Linked DNA regions of Drosophila melanogaster. The protein of the gene in region 2 interacts with the protein of the main gene of each other region in a pairwise test. Each region holds a gene or a part of one and is shown on either strand. Other genes may lie near its edges.

Region 1 (5,809 bases), on a different chromosome or scaffold from region 2:
TATGACCATAAGATCCCATTTATTAGATGCAACAAGCTTTGGAAAATATTTCTAGCCCCCTTTTTTTGTGCCACGCCCCTGTTCGGCCATTCGAGTACGAATATTATCGCCCACGATTTTTGGTTTTTGTTGCTGCTCTACTGTTTGTTTTCGATACCCAGGCACACAGACGCACACACAAACACGCATTGAAGTACACAGGAGGGGGTACTTGAGTTCTATGGCTCGAAAAGTTCTATGGTCCGTCCGTGAAAGAAAGAAATATTCAAACAAATTTCATCAACTAACAATCGAACGTTAAGTTTCATTTGCTATGTAAATGTAAATCGATCGGTGATAAGTCGGATGTAGCTACTATTTGGAAAAGCTTATATACATTAGTATGTATATAAATTCTGAAGAAAACAGGTTAAGTATTTTTGGGTTACCATCCTCTGGGCGAATAAAATTATCCTTAAAAGTGTCCTTTGATATAATTGAATAATATAGAGTTAGTACTTTTAAATTGGCCACCTGCTGCAGTCATTAAAAATTGGTTCGAAAATATTTAATCTCATGGAACAGCAAATTTAACTCAAATGAAACCGAATCCTGCCTATGGCATTTGCGCTGATACAAAAGATGGATTATCCCGCGAATTCCTTGGATCTTTTGTCGACCCTTTCGGCCTGTCAGATGGCATATTCCTCAGGTGCCCGGCTGTCTGCAGATTTTATGTGAGTTTTTGGGGGATAAATCAAGTGAGGGGCGGCGGTGCAAGGGGGGGGGGGTCAGTTTGGAGATCTCCAGTCAAACTGTACTAAAGATAGAGCCGAACACGTTCCCAGTGCTGCCACACAGATACACACCAATACCAATGTAAGAAACAAAAAAAAAAAAAAAAACTACAAAAAAAAAATACAGGAAACGCGGACGCCAATGGAGAAAAAAAAACAGGGGCAGGGGCAGGGGCAGTGGACAGTGGACGGGGGATAAGTGCATATGTGGCCCCTGAAACTTAACACTTCTTTGGCTCCGGCTGCGAATATTAAAATACCCACTTAAGGCCAACAATAACAGCGGCAAGAAGCAGAGAAAATGTGAAAAGGAGGAGCTAGAATTGAACTCAAGTACTTTCGTCTCGCACTGAAAGAAAAAAATACATTTATGTATGAATATGAAAAAAAAAACTATCTTAATATCATAGTGCTATTTTATTTACATGAAATCTATAAACTAAAATAGCGACTCACTAAGCGTGAAAAATCGAAATAGATCTAAATAATATTATAGCCAGCATTTCTCGCAGTGCACAAACATGATCTGGCATTGGCGCCCGTGCGTCTGAATATGGAAATCGAAATGGGTCCGAGTATGGGTGCGTTGTATATGGAATGGGATGGGATGTGGATAGGAGGACACTTGAGTTTTAGGCCGGGCTTATCTGCATTCTAGGCGAAGGGAGGGGAAGCGAAAGGAAAGGAAACCACTCGACGGCGCACTTGAGAAGCGGGAGAAGCAAGCGGCAGTCTGCTGCATGGATATTAACTAATTGTCGGCCACAAAAATGCATGGGAAGGCGATCGCAACACGCCATTTAACACATTTGCACGCTTCCAAAGTGTTTCCTTTTCGAATTTGCTTTGTATATAGTGGTTTACTCTGGCGAGTGACGGGGGTATATGCATTTTATTTTTTAGTTTGGGTTTTCAATTTAAGCTTAAGATGTGAAAATCTATACTTATACTTGTCTATACTCATTATTTCCGATTAAGCTTTCTGCAAACGTTCGCTTACTTTCGGTTATACAATAAATAATGTTAAAAATCTGAATAGCCTTTTTTCTAGATGTAAAATGTAGAATATTTTGAATATTGCGCCAACAGTGTGACCCCTGCTAGAACGCAGAAATGTTTTTTTGCGAGTATGTGGCAACGTTGGTCGTAAGTTTTTCCCCATGCGCGAACGGTCTCACCGATTTCCTGTAATGCATCATCGATAATCTATCGATTGCTGAGTAGTGCAAAAAAAGTGGGCAAAAAAGGTGCAATGTTTAGCGTTTAAGTGCGTTAAGTTGCTTTTGCGGACGACAACAACAACACCAGCAGCATTGCCGGTCAAATTGATCTAATTGATTTTCGGGCAGTGCCAACAGCAACTAAAACCAAATTAATAAATGAATCCCTGCGCATACATAAACATATAAAAACACACACACACACACATACATTCGCATAAAGGACGCGAACCGAAAAGGGAAAAACAAACACAAAGGAAAAAAAAAGGAAAAAGGAGAGCGCAGCTTTTTCAGAAATTGGGTCATTTGTTGTTGTTGTTGTTGTTGTTGCTGCTGTTGCTGGTGATTTTCAAACGAATTTCATTTGTTGCTGTCGTCGTCGGTTCGGTGTTGTTGTTGTTGTTGCTGTTGTTGCAATGGTCGTGGACGTTGTTGTCGCTGACAGCTAAATGTTATGGCAACACTTGCAACCTGAATTCGTGTGGGTAAGTAGTGTTTGCATTTATGTTGAATTTATTTTAACTTATATACCTTATACTTAACTTATTTTTGTGCTTTTCGCCAAATAACTATTCATATTTGGCAAAAATTAATAGTGAGGAGCGGAAAGCGAAAGGATAATAGGGTAGCGGAGACGAAGCCTTATATTTCCACCAGAAAATCCTGGCACAATTTATGACAACTCTACACTTGTGTGTGTTTGTGTTGGTGAGTAACTTAACAACTATGACTTCTTTTTTTTTTTTTTGCTATGTTAAAAAAAAAATGTGATATTTCATTATTCAGTTTAGTTTGAAGTAATAGAAATTCAAAAGTATTTGTGCTATATTTTATTATTTACTCCCTAATAACCAATGCCTATTCCTTTCTATTCGCAGAGTGAGACAGCGGAGTAGCTTCTTCAAATCAAAGGATACCACTGCAGCAGCCATCCAGCCAGGAGCCTTAAAAAAGCTGTTCAGCTTGAGAAATCCGAAACGCAGACTATAGACAAATAATACCACCAGATTCATTCCGTGCACAATGAGCGTGGTGGGTAAGCAACTAAATCCGGTGCAATCCTCCGGTGCAGGCGCAGTGACAACGTCTTCCTCCGCGGCCGCAGGATCCTCTTCTTCGAACAGTGGAGTGGAGGCCAACGGCGGCAGTGGAGGATCGTCGGGAGCTGCAGCAGCGGGCGCTGGTGCCTCCGGTGATGCCAAACGGCCTGCGGAGTCTTCCAGCGTGACTCCCGACGAGGTGCTCCATCTGACCAAGATCACGGACGACTATCTCTGCTCCGCCAATGCAAATGTGTTCGAGATTGATTTCACGCGGTTCAAGATTCGCGACCTGGAGAGCGGCGCTGTGCTCTTCGAGATCGCCAAACCGCCGAGTGAACAATATCCGGAAGGACTGTCCTCGGATGAAACCATGCTGGCGGCTGCCGAGAAATTGTCACTGGATGACACTGCCGATCCAAATGCCGGACGCTATGTGCGCTATCAGTTCACACCGGCATTTCTCAACCTCAAAACAGTGGGAGCCACGTAGGTTATACAGTATTTGCATTTGTTTTAAATGCCTCTCAATTTGTAAGTTTCCCTTATTTGCAGTGTGGAATTCACTGTGGGCAGCCAGCCGCTTAATAATTTTCGTATGATCGAACGCCACTTCTTCCGCGATCGCCTGCTAAAGACGTTTGACTTTGAGTTCGGCTTTTGCTTTCCATTTTCGAAGAATACGGTTGAGCACATCTACGAGTTTCCTAACCTTCCACCCGACCTAGGTGAGCAATTTTTACATAATCCCAGCCAGCATGACACGCAATTGAAAGTTGCTGCCAAAAGTTGAAGGGGTTTGTGGGTCAAGGTCGTTTACGATTTGCGCCTGTGAGATGAGGCTTCTATTGGTCAGATTGCGAGCAGCTATCATGGTTTTTATTTTTTGTTATCGGTTTGTAGGATGTGGACTTATTAATGAAATGCAATTCACATAAATATGTTCGTTCGTTTTCCATTTTTTTTTAGTTGCTGAGATGATATCGAGCCCCTTTGAGACGCGCTCGGACAGCTTTTACTTTGTGGGAAACCGACTCGTCATGCACAACAAAGCCGACTACGCCTACGATGGCGGCAATATAGTCTAGAAACTCAACTATAATGGAACTGCAACTAGAGCAAAACTAATAACTAAAGAACTAGAAACTACAGAAGCTGTGAGACAAAATCAATGACTTGTCACACACACACACACACGAAACACCCACTCAATGTCAACAATCACACTCACAAACACATCGAATCGAATCGAGGAATATTATCACAGCCATTTTAGCCTTAGCACACCAAAGTTTTACCCACCATTCCTGTTTGATGTATTTAGCATCAAGATATGATCTCCTGCAAACGGAAACTAACACACAAACACAACAACAACACACTGAAGCACGCGGATTGTGTTCATTTATCAATGATTTCCACTTTGACTATATAATTTTAAGTGCTATGTGATTTCCCTTGATTTATATATGTATTTGTACACACTTATTTAATCCTAATAAGTAAGGACACTCCACACACACACCCAACAAGAAACAACAAATACATATATATAAAATACGTACGTATACACACACGCACACACAGAACTTATGAGAAGCGAATTGGAAATTTTCAAAAAAAAAAAATTGAGGAAAATCCATTTGCCGTCAATTTTTGTATGCAGCATACGAAATCATACGAAATCTATCAGCTTCTTCATGGCATTTTTTTCGTGTCTGTGTATGTATATTTTTTAAACAAAAACCAAATGGAAAAAGACGAACGTAACTGGAAATCCAAAAAAAAAAAAACACTAACGATTACACGCCGAACAAGAATGATAAATTAAATTACATTTTAAATGTACATACACCACTATAAATTGAAACTTTTCTAAGGGGGTTAAATCGAGGGCATTTCGTGCACTAAAGGTGCTTAAGAAATTTATTATATTCTGAAAAATCATCAAGTTCAGAACGCTTATATCAAAAAAAAAAATATATATATTGCTATCCCGCTCTTTTCGGTGAAGATTCTTGAAGATCTGCGTAGATCGTTGAAGAATGTCTTCTCGAGTTCTGAAGTGAAATTAATTTGAATTCCCGTTCCCAAGAAAAACAAAGCGTTCACTTTCCAATTTAGCTAAAGTCGATCTACGCGATTGACTTCTTTGTACATTTGGTTAAAATATCAAAATTTGGTCTACTCAGTTCTATTCAGGAACTCGCTGACTATTGTTAGAAACTCCTGCGGCTTTTCAAAGTGCACTAAATGTCCGGCATCCAGCCAGTGGATCTCAGAATTGGGAAACATTTTCTGTATCTGTGGCCATTGCTCGCGTCTAATAAAGATGGCAAAAAGATTCAATTAGTTTAGTTTACTTAGCACCTCGGGATCCAAGTTACCTCATGTAAGGTGATCGCGTGCCGCAAATGAACGTAGTGGGTCCCGTGTACGGCGGCAGTTCCTCCAAATTACTCTGATATTTGTCGAAGCGGGTGAGGAATTCACGAAGAACATGGGCATTGCAGGCCCAAGAGAAACTATAGGAAGATTATCTCATTTTAAAGCGGTTCCCAAAAAAGGCCAAATACATATGTGGCAAACTTACGCGCCGGTGTCAGGATTTTTTCGGAGATTCAGCATGATAAAGTCAACGGTCTCGTCTTCGGTGGCTTTCAGTAGTTTTTCCCGTGCAATTTTCCTGCCCTCAGACATGGACATGCTTGGCGAAAGGTCCAGGGAGACCATCGCGTCGAAAATTTCCGTCATCTCGCCCGTGGAACGGGGC
Region 2 (5,780 bases):
TTCAGTCATCTTTTCTCTACTTTTCTTATATTTTTCTGGTGTCACTGAACTCTTCAAATTTTCATCGTTATACCCTTGCTAAGGGTATATTGCTTTCAGTCAGGAATTTGCAACGCAGTAAAGAAGACAATCTACAGCCTTTCGCTTTTGATCAGAAACGGACAACCTTATCATATCATATAAAATGTCTAGCAAATCAATGAAAAACTAATCCCAGCTTAGTTGTTTTTTAATCATAATGCGTTCTAATTCGGTACACACCAAATTTGTGATTTGACATTCGATTTTAATTTGTTCAAACTCTGCAAATAATTACTGCAAGGGTGTATAAGTTTCGGTTTTCCGAAACTAGCATATTTTTTTGTTTTTATTTAAAGTAGACGAAATAAATTGAAAAAAGAGAACAGAGAAACACGCGCAAAGCGACGACGTACGACTCAAAAAAAAAAACTAAATAAATAAATAAAAAAAAAAGACAAAACGCGAAACAGAAACAAAAAGCAAGAAAATAAATATTCAAATTCTACACATTGTGAAAATTTTATTGTCGAAATACAAATTGGACGGCGCAGCCTTACTTACATGCATGTATTTCCCGACTTCTCAGATTCTAGGCGCCACGCGAAAAACTAGAAAATCTATTTTCGAAACATTCACAACAGCGAGTGAATCGAGTCGCACCGCACTGAATATGTCACAATTACTCATGTGCTTCTAAAATGCCAAGCGATGTGCATACGAGTTTATACATACAACCCAAATAGACAGTACATCCTATTCCCATTCGATCCCGAGGGGGTTACGTTGCCACACATGGCCCGTTATCAGTGGCAGTTGGGCCTACAGACTTCACCACTCGCGCACCCAACATTATTATGCATTATTATGTATTCATGGACCGGGGGATCGTGTCGTTTTTCACATTTTACATTGCCCGCCAGGCGGACGTTGATAAAATTCTAATGGCCTGTAAGCCAGCTAGCCAGTTAGCCAGTTAGCCAGCTTGCCAGTTAGCCAGTAAGCCGTGATTTAGGCATGTTTCCATTCACGTTGTTGTCACGTCCCGAAACAAACGCTTTTCACACCTTGTTGAGCTCTGTAAATCGTAGTTATGTGCTGTTTCCACCCAGGTCGTGTGTAACTGCAATACCATTTCCTTAAACCGAACTTGAAAATGTTTATCGAAATTTGCATCTTAATTCGTCGTCTGCCTCGCACTAATGGGCAAAAAAAAGTTCGTACCCAATCCTGTCTGGAATATGGAATATCAGTGACATCCAGACAGGGGCGTCTTTGTTCTTTATCTCTATTAGATATCTTTTATGTTCTTATCTCCTGTGGGACATGTGCTCCCGATGCTGCAGAATCTTTCGCTTTCCCGAAAATTGTTGCTGCAGAGCTAGAGCAAGATAGTGGCAACCTGGCGGAAACACACGTCCGACATACATCAGCAGACCCTGTGTGACGCAAATGGATGGATTATGAGTCAGCTAAAGAAGTGGGAGCTGCAAACCCAAACCAAAAGGAATAGTTTGATGACCAGATTGCTTGATATATGAATGCACTTCGTGGAGGCGCTCTGGCGCATTTGGATCGAAGTGCTTCGAACACGTTGCCATCTTCAGTCTGTTTGAAGCTGTCGAACGGTGAGGTTGCCGAGAATCCTATCGTGGATCCAACTTGGGATCCAGATTCACATTTCCGCTGCCGCGTGCGCGGTGCTTCGTGGCCAGTGAGGCGTGTGAATTCAAATGCGGTGGTCAACGCTTTGGTTGTCGCTTTCTTTGTGTCGCCAGTGGTATTTAATCAAAATCGAATAGAGAGCCAGAGTGGCGGCAAAAGCAACAAAACAAAAAAAAAAATGAAATGAAATGAAATGAAACGAAATAAAACAATGCGGCATACAAAACGAGACGAGCACACCAAAATATCGGCAAATCAACCGAAATTATAAAAGAAAGGAAAGAACTCGACACATTGATGTGGAATCAATGCAATAAATTAACTTAAATTTGGTTTTCGCTTGGCCAGCCGATTTCGATAAAGTAGAAAAAAAAGAGAGAGAGAGACAGAGACGAATACAAACACAAATAAATGAAAAATCGTTAAAATCCCGGTCTGCGAATTCGATCAGCCCACGAAATTCGATGCGGCGGACTAGGCCTCCAAAAATATTTATACTTATGTAGAGCTCGGATTTAGGACCTACCTGTCTGCCCAGCAGCGGACCCTTGCTGATGAAGTCCTTCTTGGCCGAGTAGAGCTCCGGCGGTGGTCCTTTCAGCGAATACCGCAGGCCGGACTCCCCAAGGTCGTCCGTCGTCCCACGCAGACAGCGCTCAAGGGCACGCTCATCCTCGTCGTCATCGGAGGCGGTGGCTGAGCAGGCGGATGATACGCAAGAGGAGGAGCACGCGAAGGAGGTACGATCCCGAGCACCGGGAGATTCGCAGACAGTGGTACTATTCGTGCCAGTGCTGTGACCAGAAGTTGTGGACCGCAGTGTGGTGCTGGGATACGCGAAGGCGGGCAGGTCCGACAGCAGGCGATGGCACTCGACCTCCTGGCCGCCGGCGGGCGATTTAAGTGAACCGGCATCCGGCATGGACATGGCGATGACCAGATAAGATAGCGATCTCCAATCTCAGAAATCCGAAATCCCAAATGGCACGTGCAAAAATGCGCGCGAAAGAGCAACAAAATCCACAGTATGCGTATATACGGCTATACGTATATCTTGTAGATATATGTATCTTTACACTTATGTTGGCTCTATGGCTCTTTGGCTCTTTGGCTTTTTGCTTATTTTGTTAATTGAAATGCGACAGTCTCGTTCCGTTGCCGTGGGCACCGCACCCGCCAAAAAATGCGAAAATACGAACGAACAGAAAGGCAAAGACTACGGCTCGTGGGTATTAAAACGACTCACACTTATGGCTGCGATTAGCTAGATAAACTACTTAGTACTGGAGCCATTGTACGATCTCATGATGAATCTTTTTGCCGAATCACAGAATTTATTCGCAGTTGCGGTTGGGTTTTGGCCAATGTTAAGCTTGAACTTCACACATCGCGCCGAATGCATTCACTTTCGAGCTGCACCATTAACTTGGCCACCGTTGGCATTCTGAGTTGCTGGCTTTCTTTTCGCTTTCGGCCAGCGGCTATTTTTGCAAACTTTTCGGTGGCGAAGGTTGTCCCACAACTGAGCACCATGTCAGAGTTCACAAGAACACGCCGATCGTTTGGCATCGGCATCGCTATCGCCATCTGGCCGACATGGCTGGTCAGGATACGGAATACACTGGCGCACTGGGATGAATACGTATTCAAATTCGAATTAGAAATCGCAACTGGATTAATATTACAAATGGAACTTTAGCAATTGTCTGATACTACCGCGCGCGCGCAAATAAATGAAACGGACGAGAACGAGCCGATGGACCAGACCAATGCTGCGAACCAGAGAATTTGTATCTGTATCTGGCGATGTTTCGTTTCGGCTCGCTTGAGTTCCCGCTGCGGACTGAACACTGCTCGCCGAACAGCAGTTGGTAGCGGACGTTCCGCCGTACCGCCAAGCAATCTGAGATCGCGAACATATATCGCTCCGAAAGCTAAAAGCGGTTCTCTCGCAGCTATATGCTGTACAACATACATACATACATATGTACATATGTATGTACATACTCGTATGTAGGCACGAGTATAGGGATATGGGTTTGCTGAATGGGCTTAGGATTTCGATTCCGAAGGAGTGTTTTAGAGAGATTAGAAATACGTCAGAATCATATCAGTACGCAGAACAGCCGGCTTCTCTGCGCAGAGAGCGCTGTGGCGAAAAGAGAGCCGAGCGCGGCTTAAAAGAGCACTCGAACGCTCTCTTAAGTGCGCCTCTGCTTACTCAATATTTTTGCACATGTGAGGATTAAGTGTGTGGACATAATTATCATCGGATAAGATAAGGTGTGTTAGCATAGTAACAATCTTTGCATCTAGAGTATCTGCCTTTTCGGATGAAATAATATAAATATTAAAAAAAAAAAAAATAGGCTTATGCTGCATGCTTTATTCAGTAATAGTTTTTAAAAGTAATCAAAATTTGTAAACATGTTCACACTTGTGTGATACCAACCAATTTGAGTAAGTATGTACTTGAGTAAATAATAAAACTCTTTTTACTTATGACTTATTTTACTAGCCTATGCATTACTAATCGCACCGAGCAGTACTAAAAACTTTGAATACGAATTCTTTTGAAATAGAGGATAAGACCCTGGGCATTACCAGTGGTGCACTTCCGGAAGAAGTCATTTCGGAAGAAAAAAAGGAAGTTGATGATCACAGAGAATGGTACAATGATGACTAGCTCATCAGTATCAAAAAAAATTCTTTTTTTGACGTAAATAAACTGACACGACAGCCTTTACTCAGAAATGCGACAAATATAAAGATATATCTAAATAATCTACACAAGCTGAACAAACATATCGTAATAGTTTAGATAGGCAAGTGTAACTGATTTGTCTCAAATTGGTATCATTATAAACAATACTTTATACTTTATACTTTATATTGTCTCATTTGGGCATAGAGTGTGCGACATCTGCCGGATCCCAGCCCATCCAATGTGGGTCAAGATCAATCTACTGATCGCGTCAGTGAATAAAAATAGTAGCCATTCGCTCCATTATTTGAACGCCGAGAACTCTTCCACATAAATGTCTTCTGTGCCAAATTACCATATGTAGCAATTGACCCTATTGTATACTAAATATTTTCTTTAATCAAACGCAGCAATAAGAATTAATCAATTAAAAGACCAGAGCTCGTTTGCCAAATTAAAGTATAGTTGGAAATTAAAAATCCATTTCGCCGCCGTGGAGGTCGGCGAAAATTTAAAAATATTCCAAAATACGATGATGCATATTCATATACTACGGATGTTGCGAGAATGGTGGACTAATGAAAAACATCTCAAAAGATTCCAGGAAGAGCGTTCTCCATGCAACCATGCAATCGGCAACAAAACGCTTGTTTTGTAATCAACAACAAACAGCCGGCATCCAAATGATGCCAACATAAAACAGCAGCCATAACAGAACATCTTACAAAATAGCCCTAAAAGTCTGGAGGGGGCAAGTGAGTTCCCCAAGAAGGCTGTTTGTATTACACCGAACTAATCATCATGCCCTGTAAGCAATGTTTACACAGCCACTAAACAAAATAAACGACTCCTAGCTGGAGTCTCTCCCCAAGTCACTAATAAATTGCTCAGTCTAGCAAATCGCATACTGATCTGTAGGAAAGCATACGTTCTAAATTAGGAAATATTGCTCAAAGAGGCGCCGCTGGTTTTCAGATGCTAATGATCGAGCCACTGGAGACCGCTGACCACAATGTATCTATCTGTCTATCCATTTTTGTATCTATGCTATCTGCTCCGATCGCATTGTATCATCCTAATAATTAACGCATTTAGATCATAAGGCGGGCAGATAGCCATAAACTTTTGTTTAGCTGTTGATGCTTATATGGCAACAGCATAGATGGACTGGCCCCAACTTGGATTTGGATAGAGAATCACTTTCAGGTGGATACCCAATCCAGACCCCTTGTCCTGGCATTTGTGCAACTTCGATCTGCACGCTGGCGGCCTTCGTGTGGATCGAAGATCAATAAGCGAGAGGCTGTGAAGAGCCCTAGACTACGGATCACTATCGAATTCGAAGTCTTCAGATGTTCGATGTCAGACTGACTGTCTGTTTATCCGTCCGTGC
Region 3 (5,817 bases), on a different chromosome or scaffold from region 2:
CATAATACGCAAACATTTGCATGAAGGGAGCCCAGGAACACAGGGCAGCTTTAATAGGCAATTTGCGTTAAACGCTGATTGAATAACCATTAATGCAACTAAAGAGCCAGTGTGCCACACATGCGATAATAATGACATCAGCAGGTGGGTGGGTAAGTGCAATCAGGTCGTAAACACGTTCCGACGGCACCAGTGACTGACTTTTGAAGCGACTGGCTGAGGATGGTGAGCCAAAGTCCTGGACAAGGACTTCGACAACAACGACTAGCTGACGACGAGTCGATCAATGTACAACAGCATTTTCTGCTAATGGGCCACAGGCAGGGTGGCAGGAAGCGCCATTAGACCAGGTGCCACATGCGTTGATGATGAAAAGAAAATGCATTAGGACCGGCCATGATGAGCCCGCACTTGGCCATGAAGGCCTTCAAAGCCAGCCGTGCCCACCAGCCGAGTTTATTAAGATCGCATTTATCATAATTACCGCCGGGTCGTTGTGTTGTGTCTGGTGGAGCAGGATTCAACGCCATGTGATGACATATTCAGCAGGCAAAGCGGCCGTTAAATTCTTGGAATTTCATTCCGCATTGGCAAGCCCGAAAAAATGTCTATGGTGGTCCTGTCAACATGGGGGAGGCTCATAAAAAATGCGACAGGCAGACCCCATGAAAAACCAAAAAAAAAAAAAAACCCTGCAACACAGGGAAAGTAGTCTTCCACTTTTATTACGTCAGTTCTATTTAGTGCTATACCGTTATTGTTAATTATGTCTAATTATATTAGTAGAAGTAATTCATCTTTGCACTTATCCTATGCTACACCCGTTTGTGTATAATGAAATACCTATCTAGGAATACCAGACTACGATCCACCTTAACTATTTTTCTTTCTGTGCATTAACAGCTGGGGGAAAAAGCCAAGAATTTATATGCGCTGGGGCAGCCTGTGGAGCTGGAACCGAAACTGGGAATGATTCATGCGGAAATAAAGGCACTCGAGAGTGCCGTAAATATTGTGGTGGCGACCACAACAACAGCGGCTCTGGGAAAGGTGGAAAACAAAAGGAAAGCTTTGCATTTTCGCACCTTTTCAGGAGCGAACACGACTGAATCGCCGTTGATTCATTAGCTGAATGTGACAAGCCGTCAGTGAATGTCCAAGTGTCCAAGTGACCAAAAGTCCGGGTGTTCACGCACTCGCTCCGTAAATTCTGTCCGTTGTTTCGTGTCCGCTGCTGGTGTGCATTATTTAATTGACATGTTGATTGTTTCGCATTGCGATTCCATTTTATGTGCACTTTCAGGCGAGGGTGTGAGGCAGTTCCGCCCGGGGCGCGGTGCGGGGTTGTCCGCTGTTCGCCCGACGGCCGAGCGGACGGACAAGTGCCTGTTGAAGAGCTGGTCAACTGCGACGACTCACCAAAATAACGCTCAACAGTTTGTTGTGGAGCACGTAGAATAGGAGAGCGAGCAGCAAATGTTGCTAAACATTCGAGTGAATAGAGTCAAAACAAATTGTTATTTCAAGTAGACTAGGCAAGCAATATTATTCGTAATACAACATATCAGATTCGATTAACTTTTCATCTTTAAAGCCCAATACACAATCTATATTTTTTTTTTTTTTATATTTATTTATTTAGAAGCGATGAATCCATACAATGCAGTAACAGTAACATAACAGCGCAATTAACATATAAAAGATAAAACCAAACCTCTCACTAATCATGTGAGGACTTAAGACAATCTATACTAATAAGCAATAAGCAAGTAAGTAAAACAAATAAATCAAACAAGAACATAAATTTATATGTTAAATGCTATATCATTATAGCCATCTTTATACAAATTGTATCTCTTTGCTGATTATCGTATATAAGTGTAGGCAGTAAATGAATAAGAATAATATTTAAATTAAATTAATATTAAGTTTAAAATCGTAAAAGAATAGTAGAAATCCATTCATATCACAAAATAATGGGATTCAAATTATAATAAATATTATAACAAAAGTAGTATAATTTCAAACACTATAAGCAAAGAAACTGTATTTAATTAGAACTACTTTGAAATTACGTTTTTTCGTGTGCCAAATTTTATTTGGATTTTGACCACACCGATTTGGATGTAAGCCCACTGTGCCGAAGATTTGTCAAACTTGTTGCTAAAAAACGCGCCAAAATATGTGAGTGACGGAAAGGGACGGCGGGAAGGCGGAACAAGGCCAAAAGTACCGCACCGCAGCCGTCAACACTGCAGTCATCGGCAATGAGTAACTTCCAACAACCCACCACGACCCCCAATCTCCGCCGGGAAACCCACCTGCGAGGCGCAGGACAGGAGCGTGGTGAAGAGCGCCGCTCGGAAGTCGGAAAATGGAAGGCGGCCGAGCAGTTGCGACGCGACTACCAAATGAATCGGACGCGATAGCGCTTCAGCGGAGGTCGAGAACTGAAATGTTTGCCCAAGAACTGTATATACCAAGTGCTTGAAAGCCGTTAGCAAGTGGTTCATTTAAATATTCGTTTGAAGTCGGTTCGATTTCAGGTATTCGCTGGATTTCGGTATGTCGCGTGGGTTCGAAACTAAAAGTTCATTTTCCGTGCCAAAAAGTGTTTGCCAACAAGAAGGACTTTAAAATATCGAATTCTGCTGCGGGATCTCTGTTACTCTTGCATCTTCTGATCCTTTTCTCCGTTCAGAGGATGCGTGAGTATTCGATTCATGATGTTTCTTCGCCACATGACCAAGCTAAATGGCTAAGTTTTCCGTTTGGCAACGGCTGCAGTGGGCAGTTAAATCACATCTATTGTGGTTCAAAGTTTTGCTTTCACTCGGTTGCTTAATTAAAACAAAGTTTGAAACCCTAAAGTGGAAATTACATGGAACATCTGTTTCCAGGGCGATTTCAAAGCTTGTTCAATTCAATTCCCTAACCGCCACTCCGGACACTAATTGCATTTGCTGGCAGGATGGACAACTCGTTCGAAAGTGGCCGCTTATCGAGTCGTCCACTCGGAATATCGCCAATATCAGTCTTATCGCCCCCGGGACTTTTGTCGCCATTTATGTACGTGGAGCCAGCCAGCGAGCGAACGACACGTCAGAAAACGTGGCATACATTCGGGCGCCTTCGCGGGCTGGCCACGATGGCGAATACTTAATTATTCATATGCGAGCTGATGGTCCTTCGCGATGTCTTTCCTTTTGAGCCGTCACTCGAACACTTGTTCCGCCTGCAGTTCCATTTCGCTGACGAAAGCCACTGCACTTCTGATGGGGTGGTATAAATTATGTTTTTTCCCATTGACGCAGAACAAAATACGCATTCGTTTGCGGTACAGATACAGATAGTGCAGCGCATGGGTAAACATGGAGTTCGGTAACGAATTCGCGGTTAGATCGTGCCTTCGCATGCCATACGATCTGGATTTGGGCATACTGGGAAATTAGAATGCCCATTGACAGCGCATTAAGTATACGCCGTGTGTGTGGAGTAATCTATTGTTATCTGGAAATCTATTGTTAGATTTGTGCGCCAACAGTTTGTTGGTGCTCCGCCCTCACCGCTCTCCTGCACCACAACACCCCCTCGCCGGCCGAGCAGGCATCAAAGCTTATTCATAACATTTGCTTTTGTTGGCGACACAGATACCCACAAGCACACACAAGCACACACACACTGACGCAGTGGGGCCTTCTGGGCAGCTATCAGCAGTTGGGAAAACCCTTTTTGGCAAGTCCAACAATAGCAATTCACATTAGTTATGTGGCTGAAAAAATCGGAAAGAGGGAAACTTTTACATCTGCTGCTGGCATTTTATATAAATTATATTAGAGTCCGACATCCCAAGGCTAGCTTACACTTACGACTGCTGTATAGTGAATTTAGACTCACATTCGCCCAATTTAACTTTGCAGCTGCTCGGTATCGAAATCCTCGTCGCCAGCCAAACGGGAGCTCAAACTGAAATCCATTTCCAAACTTTCGCCTAATCAACGAGCTACGTCCACTTACCCCTGGCTCCAACTCGAAAGGAGCTCGCTCCAACGCTCCCAAAAGCGGATTTCGAGTGCCTCGCTGGGCCGAGCCACCTGGCATGTCGTATTCAAAGGGAATCGCAGATTGACGGCCACATCGCGGATTGAGGTGACTGCAAACTGGGTGCGAGCGCCGCCATTACTCGGTATTTTGATTTCGCTTTCCTGGGCCGCAACGGGCAATTAATTTGCACCACTTTGGAGCCGCTCCGCCTCGATTTATGTGCTCTGCTCAAAGTTGGGGCAACTATTTGGTTTGGTGTTTGTGGAATGTGCTGTTCATAACTTGTATCATAACTTGTGTCAAACGGCGAAACTAATCGAGCGAGGGAGATTTAAATAAAAATTCAACATGGCGATGGAATGGATAACTGCAATGGACAAACGGTAAGTGATTTTTTAATGAGCTGCACAATTAATGAGCAGCGATTTTGGGGAACTTTTCTTTAAATTCTAAGTTTTTAGCTCCAAAAGTTTCCTTAGCTGAAACGGAATGCTTTCTCTTAAATTTAAGGCATTTCCCAGCTGAGTGCACAAGTTTCTTTCCTCTGTTTTCCCGGAGCAGACACGTACTCACACATCGACGTACGTGTAAGTTGAATGAAAAGCTCGACGTGGAGTACAAACAAAACGAGAACGAGAAGCGAAACATTTTAAAATGTTGCCGTCATGCTCGACATTCATTTGTCAAGAACCAACATCGGGGTGCCCCATCCTCCTCCATCCTTGATGGCTGGCAAATGGCCAATCCATCCACTTTGTGGACACGGCCTGCCACGAATTATCCGCTTTATTAAATCTCGATATCAATTCTCCGTAACTCAATGAGCCGCCTTCTGCACAGCAATTATTTCATCATTCCTGATTTGGACACCGAACAAAGGAAAATAAAAACAGGACTTTAATCATGACATTCATATCTTTCTTGTGAATTGAAATGCAAAATAAATGTAATTGTAGTTCGCTATAAATAAACCAACCCATTTAATGATACTACTCTTAAAATACAATTTATATTATGATAAAGCATTAAAGTAATTTACCATTCATTTCATGAGCTATGCCTGAAAAGTGTTTTCTGTCGTGCAAAAATAATAATTAAACCGCTGTAAAAGTATAAAAATACTATAATTTAATTGAAAATATATATATTTCTGCTGAAAGCTCCGCATTTCAGAGGTTTTAATGCACATACATTTTTTACGTAAATATGTGCTTTGCAATTGGATGGAGTTTAGTCTTGTGCAAACATTATTTTAGTGGAATAAAACAGAGGCACGGGACTATTGTTTTTTTTTTTTAGTTGATGTCAGACTTTATACTTTCCATTTAAGAGAGCGGTTTCATTTTATCTGGACACCACAGTATTTATCTTTTCACAGCCAACATAATAACATTACCCTTATCTAAATTAATGAAAAAGCTCATATGTGAGATGGAGTATCTCTCCTGATGACATGCTATTTCTAAAGCATTTACTATTGCAACAGTCAACAGAATAGTCAGCATTCTAAAGCATTTACTATTGCATCAATCAACAGAATAGTCAGCATTTAGCGTGTAAAATATTTATATACAATTACGGAATAACCAAATTTATTTTAGTGTGTGCGCAGTACTTAAGCTTAAGTTGAACTTGATTCGAGCTAATCAAACATTGACCAGAGATCAAAATTGTTTTTCAAAGTGTCTAAATCGATTTGCCCAACCGTAAATGGCCGGGAATCGAGCACACATTCTTCCCAGCAACCACTTGATGCAATTTGTTGGATTTCAG
Region 4 (4,370 bases), on a different chromosome or scaffold from region 2:
CAGCGTGCTTGAAGATGTGGCGCCGCACTGTCTCAAGCTACTCACATGGCTGCACGATTGTCAGGAGGAGATGCACTCCGAGCACCGCCATCTGCGACTGAGCCAATCCGTTGTGGAATCCCTGCTAAAGGCTCACCTGTACCTGTTCGAGTGCTATGATCGCTTCGGGCAATCGCTGGCCGAACGCTGCGATTGCCGTGGCTTCTTCGCTAGCTGCTCTGCATTGGTGGATCGACGGAAGTGTATTCGTGAGCTGTGTACCACCATCGTGAACACACGAAAGGGAGAAACTCATGCACCACTGCTTCATCTTTCGCATCGAACGTTGGCCGAGATTCAGCCTGCGTGGAGTGAGATCGGTGATTTGGACTGGTCGGCAATACGCCAATCGGATGCGCTTTCTTCCAGCGATTTTATCAATCCCGATCTTCAGCAGATGCGACGGCTAGTCAAGCGGATTGGCCGCTTATCCAGCCTTGAGGACATGCAGACCGCAATAAAGCGCTCCATGGAGCTGATTGAGTACCAGGTGTGGCTGCAGCTTTTTAGGGAGCCAAAGGACAGCGAAATTCACAAGGATTGCTACCTAATGCGCCACATGATCTGTGACACTTTATCGGAGGGCGGATCTACCGCTTGCACCGGCTTCCTGCACAATATCTTTCTGTTCGTATCGCAATCCGCCAATGAGATGAGATTCTGGGCCAGTATGGAGCATGTACGTCTGGCCGGCAGCCTTATTGCCTACCTAATCGACCATTGGAATCGCCACCTGCCCTACCTAGACTTGGATGAGATGCAATTGACCGCTGATGCACCAGTCACGGCTGTCTCGCAGCTGCCCGTGAACGAGGCCACATACATAACCTACCTGATGCTGGCCACCGGATCCATATGTCGCCGGCAGTTCGCCCAGCAGCTGCGTGCCCAACTACCCCCCAATTCCTGGACACATTTGCTGGAGCTGCTAAATAAAGTGGCATTCGTTTTCACTTAACTACACTACGAGTTTAATCATGTTTCGGCAAAAACTCGCAGTTGCCATCGGTCAGGCGAACCACCTTCTCGCCCTTCTCGGCCAGGATCTCCTCGATGTTGCGCTTGCCGTCCAGATCTGTGAACCAGTTCAGATTGTCGGCGATCAGGTGGTGATTGGAGCAGCCCTCGCAGGTCACGATAACAACGCCGCGTTGGTATGCCAGCTTCGAAATGGTCTTCATGTTCCGGGTCTGGCACACCTTGCAGGTGTAGATCAGCTGCATCTTGGCCTCCAGTTTCGCCAGAGGAATGCTATTCGTGGCCACCGTCTTGTCCGCATCGTCCTGGGAGCAGAGCAAAATAATTATACTTAACTTTTTTGTTATACATAATTTTAAATATTGCATTCCATTTATAATATTTTAAATTACAAATGTAAATAACATTATTTAATATCAATTGGGTAGTTTATTTGTATTTACAACTGATTTCCAAACATACCACTGGCTTACTGCAGTGTATACTGCGGCAAATGCACGTGTAGTTGTTGCTGCTGCTAAAAACAGCTGTTTGTGTTTTGGTTGCAAAGTGATGCACTTGCAACTGCAATTGTGGACTATTTAAAGCATCAATTTGTGTTCTTCGGGAACTGGTAAGTAGTGCGCCTCTTCTCACACCTGCGCTGATTTTATAAAATTTTTTTAGGGCGGACATATCCTCGATTTTGTTGATATTATTTAACTCAATCGAAAAGTGTGAAATTCATTTAAACTTAGAGATGGCACCTCCTTTCATTTCAAAACTAGTCGCGAGTCACGATTTTAAAAAGTTACTATAGCTGTCACTGGTGCTGATAAAATTTGCTGTAACTCACAGACATTAAAACCAATTGTTAATATAAATTCTACTGTGAAATATTAAGTTAAGTTATTAATGAAGTCCACCTGGACTCTGGGGCTTAAAAATAACTTATTTTTCAAACAGGTAGTAACCGTTTCTCCGCTATCCCGTGACACTGCCAATCGATGACATCTGTTAATGCCATCTCACGTGATACTATCGACAGTACTATCGACCATCTGGTAGTAAGCACTCATATTTTCGAATTTTTTTTGTGGAAATTCTCGAGTCAAACAAATTATATAAAGGGCACGAACCGATGGCGACACGTGTGGTGGCAACGGCGACAGTGCGGGCGGTGAAAGGCCGGAAGTTAATCCCGACGCGGGCCGCTCTGACTCTGGTAAGGAAACCAAAACCTGGTGAAATCGGCGCATGCTGCTGCTGATGAAGTAACAGTCCCCTTCGATCTGATGATTCTGATCTCCCCCAATCCTTTTCAGACACCCGCGGCGGTGCTACGCATCAAGACGCTTCTGCAGGACAAGCCGGACATGGTGAGTGACTGCTGACAAGTTGTCATCGAACCAAGGCTACACTTTAGTGGGCATTCTATCGCCTTCCACGATTGAGATCTTGATAATCTCGCCTAGCTCTTTAAAGGTTCCCGTGCATGTTATTTAAGTTTTAGCACTGGTTGCATGGAGTATAGGAAGTTCGCAAGAGGGCTTCTTCAAGCATTATATTTGACAATAGGCTTTTTCCTCAGTCAGTCATATATTTTAGCGCAAATTATTAGCTATAAATATAAGCCATGCTAACTAATTCGGCCTGCGTTAATCAGCTAGATTTTCCAAATTTTGACCCGACCAAATTTTGATGAGCATGTTTATCTTGTTGTTAATCATTTAGTTTTTAAGTGATTAAATTCTTTGAATTGAGACAGACTTATTAGAATACCGAGTTCTTTGTCTTTGGTCAATAAACAAGGCTGCCTATAAATTAGCCACACAGTTAATGACAGAAATTCGATGTTGTTTCTGCCACAGGTTGGCCTAAAGGTGGGCGTACGGCAGCGAGGATGCAATGGTCTGTCCTACACGCTGGACTATGCCAGCCAAAAAGGTAAGCCACTCTGGACAGAATGTTGTTCGGTGGAGATCTAATGCTGCGTTCTGTGTCGATTTTTGCCAGCAGACAAGTTGGATGAGGAGGTGGTCCAGGATGGCGTCAAGGTCTTCATCGACAAGAAAGCGCAGTTGTCGCTGCTGGGTAAGTTCATACCAGCTTAGCATAGCATTGGACAAGCCAGCTAATACAGAGTATAATTCGCTTGCAGGTACCGAGATGGACTTTGTGGAATCGAAGCTGTCCAGCGAGTTCGTGTTTAACAATCCGAACATTAAGGGCACATGCGGCTGCGGCGAATCGTTCAGCATGTAAACCGATGGAGATCCGGAGGAGATCCGCCGGCACCCGCCTCGCAGACAGACCTAAATTAACTAAGTTAAATGCAGTACGCGGCCCGACCTTGTATCTCATTACGTTGTTGGCAAAAGCACCGCATCCTTTGTAAATTTTACTTCGCAAACGAATTCTAAATATTAAGTTGTGTTCTATAGTTAAATTTTAGTTGTAGCGCTAGGTAAGTGACGCACCCGCTTCCTTGCCGCAGGCTGGCAGTTTGTCCTCTTTAGCCCTAGTTCAATATATAGACAAGGAATGTTCTAGAAAACCCATGTGCAAATCAAGTTTATTATTGAAAAAATACTTCGACTACGTGCATGTTACCGCTGATTGATACCCTGGAAACCGTACTCCTCGTAGTCGTCTTGCGTGTAAACAAACTCTTCAAAGTTGGGGCTGGTCGCAACCTCCTTGCCGCCGTACCACGCGTACCGCACCGGATCCTCGGGACAGATGAGTGACACTTCAAGATCGTCGGGCACCAGGGCACGTAAATCGCGCTTTAGGCGCGGCAGAAATCCCGGAAACTGGGCACTGCCGCCCACAATAAGGATGTTGAGCAGGAGTTCGCGGTGCGCTTCCCAGGGGCAAGCCTTCAGACAATCGGCCACCGCTTCCGGAATGCCCACCTGTTGCACACCAATGTCCGAGGGATTGAAGAGCAGCTCGGGCACGGTGAAACGTTCATTGCACAGCGACACCATTTGCTGTTGCTCCTCATCCTCGCGCGGCTTTCCGGGAACACGAACATAGCCCCGTTTGACGGTGGTGAAGTCTGGAAGGACATAATCAACTGTGACTTCGCGTCGCTTCTCCTCCGAATAATGCACCTGCATCGCCTGCTTGAAGTCCTCCGCCACAAAGCAGACATCTTCCTTGATCTGGTTAACTACATGACTCTCGTCCATGACGTTTAGGTGGCGATAAGAGATTAGCTCCTTTAGCTGGTTGGTCAGCGCCTTCCCGCCCATGTCGATGCGTCGTATGCCTTGGAGAACGCGCCGTCCCAGCACAAAAGGAACAACGTGGGTGAAACTGTAGCCTACATCGATGATGATGCAGTTAAGCGATTCCATTGTAGTCCG

What was found.
Region 1: the proteins of AdamTS-A (region 2) and unc-119 interact in a two-hybrid assay, tested with the Drosophila melanogaster proteins (one large-scale study listed by BioGRID).
Region 3: the proteins of AdamTS-A (region 2) and Epac interact in a two-hybrid assay, tested with the Drosophila melanogaster proteins (one large-scale study listed by BioGRID).
Region 4: the proteins of AdamTS-A (region 2) and MagR interact in a two-hybrid assay, tested with the Drosophila melanogaster proteins (one large-scale study listed by BioGRID).

Annotation. Positions count from the first base shown.
Region 1 is NC_004354.4:7,287,461-7,293,269, reverse strand, and holds unc-119 (unc-119), read left to right. Parts: upstream 1-1,971; 5' UTR 1,972-2,477; exon of another isoform or gene 2,478-2,481; intron 2,482-2,592; 5' UTR 2,593-2,704; intron 2,705-2,874; 5' UTR 2,875-3,019; coding exon 3,020-3,525; intron 3,526-3,591; coding exon 3,592-3,764; intron 3,765-4,005; coding exon 4,006-4,124; 3' UTR 4,125-4,903; downstream 4,904-5,809. Other genes in the region: CG2059 (uncharacterized protein), read right to left, coding at 5,221-5,359, 5,424-5,561, 5,630-5,809. UniProt on the Drosophila melanogaster protein: Myristoyl-binding protein that acts as a cargo adapter: specifically binds the myristoyl moiety of a subset of N-terminally myristoylated proteins and is required for their localization.
Region 2 is NT_033777.3:15,472,678-15,478,457, forward strand, and holds the start of AdamTS-A (ADAM metallopeptidase with thrombospondin type 1 motif A), read right to left. Parts: upstream 3,517-5,780; 5' UTR 2,612-3,516; coding exon 2,210-2,611; intron 1-2,209.
Region 3 is NT_033778.4:6,795,516-6,801,332, reverse strand, and holds the start of Epac (exchange protein directly activated by cAMP), read left to right. Parts: upstream 1-2,391; 5' UTR 2,392-2,563; intron 2,564-3,920; 5' UTR 3,921-4,392; coding exon 4,393-4,427; intron 4,428-5,817.
Region 4 is NC_004354.4:15,732,232-15,736,601, forward strand, and holds MagR (magnetic receptor), read left to right. Parts: upstream 1-2,038; 5' UTR 2,039-2,137; coding exon 2,138-2,221; intron 2,222-2,321; coding exon 2,322-2,375; intron 2,376-2,867; coding exon 2,868-2,943; intron 2,944-3,012; coding exon 3,013-3,090; intron 3,091-3,157; coding exon 3,158-3,261; 3' UTR 3,262-3,549; downstream 3,550-4,370. Other genes in the region: CG8191 (uncharacterized protein), read left to right, coding at 1-997; CG12379 (uncharacterized protein), read right to left, coding at 1,011-1,322, 1,480-1,692; Arp6 (Actin-related protein 6), read right to left, coding at 3,606-4,370. UniProt on the Drosophila melanogaster protein: Involved in the assembly of mitochondrial iron-sulfur proteins. Probably involved in the binding of an intermediate of Fe/S cluster assembly. Required for maintenance of circadian rhythms under constant darkness.